Linked DNA regions of Xenopus tropicalis. The protein of the gene in region 1 purifies or fractionates together with the protein of each later gene. This does not show direct contact. Links are inferred from orthologs where the notes say so. Each region holds a gene or a part of one and is shown on either strand. Other genes may lie near its edges.

Evidence for each region.
Region 2: the proteins of lmna (region 1) and parp1 purify together in Homo sapiens (affinity purification with western blotting; 3 studies listed by BioGRID, with this or other methods). This does not show direct contact. The link is inferred for Xenopus tropicalis from reciprocal best matches to the Homo sapiens genes LMNA and PARP1.

Annotation. Positions count from the first base shown.
Region 1 is NC_030684.2:142,968,095-142,971,851, forward strand, and holds the start of lmna (lamin), read right to left. Parts: upstream 2,241-3,757; 5' UTR 2,194-2,240; coding exon 1,850-2,193; intron 1-1,849.
Region 2 is NC_030681.2:8,009,327-8,012,983, reverse strand, and holds part of parp1 (poly [ADP-ribose] polymerase 1), read right to left. Parts: intron 3,573-3,657; coding exon 3,444-3,572; intron 3,344-3,443; coding exon 3,245-3,343; intron 2,864-3,244; coding exon 2,711-2,863; intron 2,249-2,710; coding exon 2,121-2,248; intron 1,894-2,120; coding exon 1,832-1,893; intron 851-1,831; coding exon 736-850; intron 1-735. UniProt on the Homo sapiens protein: Poly-ADP-ribosyltransferase that mediates poly-ADP-ribosylation of proteins and plays a key role in DNA repair.

The DNA.
Region 1 (3,757 bases):
AAAAATAAAAAAAAATGGCTGCCAAATATTGTTTTGTGTGGCACTTAATGGGGCACAGGGGTTTCCCGTGGCATTGTGGGTATGCCCCTATGGGCAGGGTGGCATGGATAGGCATGGCAGGAAGGGATAAACAGGCTGGGCACAAAGTGGCACACCCTACTCTAGTGGCACCAATGCCCATATGGAATATACAGATACGGTGGCACCAATGCCCATATGGTATAGATACGGTGGCACCAATGCCCATATGGAATATATAGATACGGTGGCACCAATGCCCATATGGAATATATAGATACGGTGGCACCAATGCCCATATGGAATATATAGATACGGTGGCACCAATGCCCATATGGAATATATAGATACGGTGGCACCAATGCCCATATGGAATATATAGATAAGGTGGCACCAATGCCCATATGGAATATATAGATACGGTGGCACCAATGCCCATATGGAATATACAGATACGGTGGCACCAATGCCCATATGGAATATACAGATACGGTGGCACCAATGCCCATATGGAATATACAGATACGGTGGCACCAATGCCGGGGCACCACTTGGGGCAGAGTCAGGGTAAGGGGCATTTATAGAACCTGCAACTGCCCCGGGTACCAATGAACCAATCCAAAGAGAGCCCTAAACGCACAGCTGCCACCCTTACCCTCTGAGTTGTGGGGGCACAGGGTCTCCCAATGGTGGGTGGGCACCGCACAAATAACTTTGTTTCCTATTTTAGCCGGTGACTCCCCGGCACAGACTCCCAGCACAGTAGGGACAACACCACGCGGCACGGGGAGTATTTATATTGGAATGAGCTCACTGGTGTGAGATACTCGGCACGTGGCGCGCGCTGCTCATACATCAATGTAAAAACACCCACTGGGGTAGATACAGGGAACTGCCTCCCAGCAGGGCCGGTGGGACAGTAAAGGACTGGGGGGGAACATAAGGAAGTGCTACTTTACAGAAAGGGGAGTAGATACAGGGAACAGCCTCCCAGCAGTGGCGGTGGGACTAATACAGTAAGGGGCATAGATACAGGGAACTGCCTCCCAGCAGGGCCGGTGGGACTGATACAGTAAGGGGCATAGATACAGGAAACTGCCTCCCAGTAGGGCCGGTGGGACTGATACAGTAAGGGGCATAGATACAGGGAACAGCCTCCCAGCAGGGCCGGTGGGACTGATACAGTAAAGGAATAGGGGGGGAGGCTGAAAGGGAACATAGGGAAGTGCTACTTTACAGAAAGGGGCATAGATACAGGGAACTGCCTCCCAGCAGGGCCGGTGGGACTGATACAGTAAGGGGCATAGATACAGGGAACTGCCTCCCAGCAGGGCCGGTGGGACTAATACAGTAAGGGGGGTAGATACAGGGAACTGCCTCCCAGCAGGGGTGGTGGGACTAATACAGTAAGGGGGGTAGATACAGGGAACTGCCTCCCAGCAGGGGTGGTGGGACTAATACAGTAAGGGGCATAGATACAGGGAACTACCTCCCAGCAGGGGTGGTGGGACTAATAAAGTAAGGGGAGTAGATACAGGGAACTGCCTCCCTGCAGGGCCGGTGGGACTAATAAGGAATAGACACCCTGTGGGATGCAATGGAGTCGCTGCTGCTGAAGACAAGCGGCGCCCCCTACAGGCAGGTCTGATAACACCAATCCTCTCCCAGTAGCCCTGGCATGAGTCAGGTTTGCCCCAGGCGTGGGCATTCCTACACATCCTATGACTCCTATGGGCTGGGCTCACATTTCCATCCCGGTGCCAAGGAGCCCAGTGTAACCGACCCCCACCCCATCCCGCTGGCACACAGTCCTGGCACCCCCGGGTCCTACCTCGCTTTCAGCTCCTTGTGCTCCTCGCGGATCTTGCTGAGCTCCAGCTGCAGGCGAGCCCTCTCCTTGGCCACCGAGTCGAGAGTTTTGCGGGCGTCCGCCAGTTCCGCCTCGTAGGCCCCCTTGATGCCCGACACCTCGCGACTGACCACCTCTTCGGACTCAGTGATGCGCAGGCGCAGCCCGGCGTTCTCCGACTCCAAGGAGCGCACCTTGTCGATGTAGACGGCCAATCGGTCGTTGAGTTCCTGCAGGTCTTCCTTCTCCTGCAGGCGGGTGATGCGGGTGGGGGAGAGTGGGGTGTGGGTGCTGCGGGTCGCCCGCTTCTGCCCGGGGGTCTCCATGGCTCTTGGCGAATACACGGGGGGCTGTCAGTGCGCAGGGATCTGCTTTCCTTCTCCGCCTCTGACAGTCTGCTGTGCCCAGTGGCTCCCAGTTACATCCACTCGCAACTGCCAGCCCCTGGGCGGGGCCAGGGGAGGAGCCTAAAGGGAAAGGAAAACTCAAATCATGGCCCTGTCCCCCCCCCCCCCCAACCGGCTGCTTGACGTGAGGCATCTGGGGACACAGCAGAGCTGTCAGTCAATATAACTCCCTGCAACCCTCCGGCTCTGACCCAAGCCATTACAGAACTACACATCCCATCAGCCCCAGCGGGTTCGCTTACCCCTGAACACAGCACATTGGAGCGACTAAAAGCCTTGAACTGCAACTCCCAGAACCCTCAGCTGGTTCGCCAATATCAGTCACCAATATAACTCCCTGCAACCCTCCAGCACTGACCCAAGCCACTTCCAGCCATTACAGAACTACACATCCCATCAGCCTCAGCGGGTTCGCTTACCCCTAAACACAGCAGATTGGAACAATTGAAAGCCTTGAACCGCAACTCCCAGAACCCTCAGCGGGTTCGCTTACCCCAGAACCCAGCACATTGGAGCGATTGAAAGCCTTGAACTGCAACTCCCAGAACCCTCAGCGGGTTTGCTTACCCCAGAACACAGCAGATTGGAGCAATGGAAAGCCTTAAACTGCAACTCCCAGAACCCTCAGCGGGTTCGCCAATATCAGTCACCAATATAACTCCCTGCAACCCTCCAGCACTGACCCAAGCCACTTCCAGCCATTACAGAACTACACATCCCATCAGCCTCAGCGGGTTCGCTTACCCCTAAACACAGCAGATTGGAACAATTAAAAGCCTTGAACCGCAACTCCCAGAACCCTCAGCGGGTTCGCTTACCCCAGAACACAGCACATTGGAGCGATTGAAAGCCTTGAACTGCAACTCCCAGAACCCTCAGCGGGTTCGCTTACCCCTGAACACAGCACATTGGAGCGATTGAAAGCCTTGAACTGCAACTCCCAGGAACCCTCAGCGGGTTCGCTTACCCCTGAACACAGCACATTGGAGCGATTGAAAGCCTTGAACTGCAACTCCCAGAACCCTCAGCGGGTTCGCTTACCCCTGAACACAGCACATTGGAGCGATTGAAAGCCTTGAACTGCAACTCCCAGAACCCTCAGCGGGTTCGCTTACCCCAGAACACAGCACATTGGAGCGATTGAAAGCCTTGAACTGCAACTCCCAGAACCCTCAGCGGGTTCGCTTACCCCAGAACACAGCACATTGGAGCGATTGAAAGCCTTGAACTGCAACTCCCAGAACCCTCAGCGGGTTCGCTTACCCCAGAACACAGCACATTGGAGCGATTGAAAGCCTTGAACTGCAACTCCCAGAACCCTCAGCGGGTTCGCTTACCCCTGAACACAGCACATTGGAGCGATTGAAAGCCTTGAACTGCAACTCCCAGAACCCTCAGTGGGTTCGCTTACCCCTGAACACAGCAGATTGGAACAATTCAAAGCCTTGAACTGCAACTCCCAGAACCCTCAGCGGGTTTGCTA
Region 2 (3,657 bases), on another chromosome or scaffold:
ATATATATTCCAGTTTGGGGAGATTCTTTAATAGGCCACTTAACATAATATAAACTGAGGCTACAACTGATTTATCTCAAAAGAGGGAGTTCAAGTAAATTTCATTAAATTTGGGACCAATGGCTGGATAAGCATCCTCTTCCCAGTGTACAAAACGAGCAAGAGCATAAACTTACTCTTGTATTCTTGTGCATATATTAGCAATATACCCAAAATGGATAGATTGTACGCCATTTCGGTTCTTCTTTTCTTCTGGAAAGTTCTAACTGATGTTGTATTACTTACCTATTGTATATCTCAATCATTGTAACTAATTATTCACTCAATAAACTCTACCTGAATTAAAAAAAAAAGTTAACTCAAAAGGTGAGCTACCCCTTTAAGTGCCGCAGCTGTTCTAGAATCCTGCCTCCTTGTGGCAGAGGCTGTATCCAACCATTGCAGATTTGAAGTTACACAAAGACATGGAAGCTGCTATATTGTTTCTCTTAGTAAAGGTAGATCATATAAGATCACACCTTTTCAGTACTTTTGTATTTGCACATACAGGTGGGTACTGCCATACTGTTTCCCACAATCAGTATAGTATGAAGTTACAGCTTGTGTGTACAGAATATCCCTTGTGTGTGTACAAGCAGGACATTAGATTTAGCATTACCAGGGTAGTAGGGTAGAAAAGGTCTAACAAAGGTAAATATAAGGCAGAGGACGAGCTCAAACAGCAGAAAAGGATACTCGTTATATAACAGACTGGCGTCAGTGATATTTGTAGCACTTCCTTTCCCAAGAGGAACGTCCACTCCATCCAGTTTTACAGTAGCTGAGGGATCAGGCGCGGTTCTACCCAAACCTAAAGAAAAGAGGGAAATCTGTATCAGAATCTATTTGCCAGAACCAATCCCGTATGTAAAGTTCTTAGTTTGCTGGAGGTTTAAAGGGCAACTCCACCCAAAAAATGTCTTTGCACAATGAAAGCAACTCTCTCTCTAACTTTACAATATACATTCATTAATAGGTTTCAGTGGGCCCAATGTTATTTGTAAATGTAATTCCTACTGAAAGCAGTGTCTAACTAGTATACTAATTATATTCTCTGCAGTACTAGCACAAACCCCCAAGGGTGAAGACACACTGGGCTACTAGTAGCAGCTACTTTTTCATGGCTACTAAACTCCAGAAAATCCCCTGCCATAGACAATACTGAGAATTGCCTCTGCTAAGACACACGTAGAGACAATTATCAGTAAATGTCTTTTTTGTAGCCGTGACAAGTAGCTGCTACTAAGTAGCTCCATGTGTCTTCACCCTAAAACAATGTAGCAAAAGCTCAATGATTAATGAACAGACTGACCAGCCACATAGTAAATCTTGAAACAATCTATAAATTGATTAGTGTCAAAACCTTAAGAGTAATTGTATTTGTTTTTTTTGCAACTTTACATCTCTGTTCAGATCAGTGTAGCTGAGGTTTGTTTTTGTTTTTTTTATAACGGTAAATCTCCATTAATTCTGTGTAATAAACAATTACGGGCATTTTTCCCTCCAACCTCTATGAAGGTGATAATGACTGGTGAGCTTGCAGTTTCAGTCTCCCCCAGGTCTGCACTGTTCACTGGCTTACCTTTCCCCTACATGATAAGCAAATAAGCATTTTTTTTCTATTTAGGCACCCTATGGCCCTTAGGTACCTATATCATAAATATAGCCCTGCTTATAGCACCTACAGAGACACAATTTACAGCTATAACAGTATAGGTATTCCTTTGTACTAAACAGTTCAAGAGAATGGAACCTGATGGATATTTGTGCACTAAGACACAGGGCCACTTACCTTTGACACTGTGTTTGCCCTTGGGTAGTTTCGTAATGTGTGATGCTGCTCTCAGCTCATGCCTAATACAGACAAACGACAAGAAATCAAAAGTGAACATTGTGAAAGTACCCCGCAGGTGGTAGTTACCTAAACAGCTTTGTAGCTGCCCTTTACCAACCACTGCCTGGTTGCTAGGGTCAGTGACCCAGCCAGCTAACAGTTTAAACTTCCAGTCTAGAGTGGTGCAGAACAAATCACAAACATGGCATTTAATATATATGCTATGAAAATAATAGCTGTTACTTACATGTTACCAAGGGCCACCTCTCCCAGTAAGATCAGCCCAATGGGATTACCCGGCATTGCATTACAATAGTTGGCACTTTTGGATACCATATCGGCAAAATAGATACCTTTGCCAAACATATAGCCAGTCTGTGGGGAGAAAGGATCAGAACAATGTGAGTAAATCTGCATTAAGAAAATCAAACATCTGTGCATACATCTATTAACAGGTTACTGGCACAATTTACTAACACCTGATTGTAGAATGCAGTTTGTATACACAGGGCTGTATATTTCCTATAGACAACTCTTAACTACCCTTTTTTATATAATGAGCTTACAGCCCACACATGGTACAACACAGCCCAGAGGTTCAGCAGCCCTGTAACAGGCCTTCAAAATTGTTTGGAGGAGCTCCCCTGTCCTGGATCTTGTTAGGCCACCTTTTGTGTGTCAGTGGCACTGCACATGCTCAGTGGGCTGCTGCTGAGAGGCTAAGCTTAGGAGGGCGTGGCATATCGAAGTCATTAGCACTGGCTTCCTGATTAGATGCCCCCAGAGCACCATGCTCTTGACAGGATACATTAGAGTTGCCTCTAACCCAGTACTTACAACGGGAGCTTCCGGTGGAGCAATTCGGAGACCCTGAGACAATATCCCTGCAAAATTTGTGGTTCGGGATCCGTGCCAAAGCAGCTGGCGGTTGTGTAGCTGTTTGAATGGCTTATACCGCTGATATTCACCTTCACGCTCGATTTTGAATATCTTTGGGATGAAAGATAAGGAGAGAGACGAAAGGAAAATGTTCAGAAATAACCACATTCAACACAGTTAATGAAGCTTACATTTAAAGGGAAAGTAAACTCAAAGTTTTGCCTAATGAAAGAAAAGCTATTTCTAAGCAACTTCTTAATATATATTTATTGCACATTTTTACCGGTGTAAAAGTTGTGTGTAAATGCAATTGCTATTGAAAGCTGTATCCACGTCCCTTACTTTTTTCTGCACTGCTGGGTCTGACTAATGCCTGTGAAGCAGTATGCAAGGCATAGTGGGAAATGGAGTCTTAGCTGGAGGAAATATAACTTTGGCCGCACTGTTTCAAGAGTCAGAACCTGCAGTTAATAATATACAAAGTGGACTTACCTCGAGGACCTCAAGATCGTAGGCATTGTGCGTCTCGGCGTGCGTGTTCTTCACATAGTCACGTATTATTCTAGATTCTTCCGATTCTTTATCGACAACCTAGGGCAGAGGGAACATTTAGATATACAGCAGGACCGGGTGAGTACAATAAAGGAAAAAGTAATGGTTTGTGCATTTAAAACCCCAATTATTCGTTTACCTTAATGTCAGTCTTAATCTTTTCATATTTCACATCAATGGGATCTTTTTCTCCATCATCGGCGCCGCCTCTCAACAGGCTGTATGCAACTTCAATGTCAAGCAGATTATCCAGCATCTGCACTTTAGCCTGCCACACAGAATAGGGGACATTTAAGTACACGACAGGCTATTTAGTACAAGCTGCACTGGCTGGGGGGGGGGAGGGGACAGGA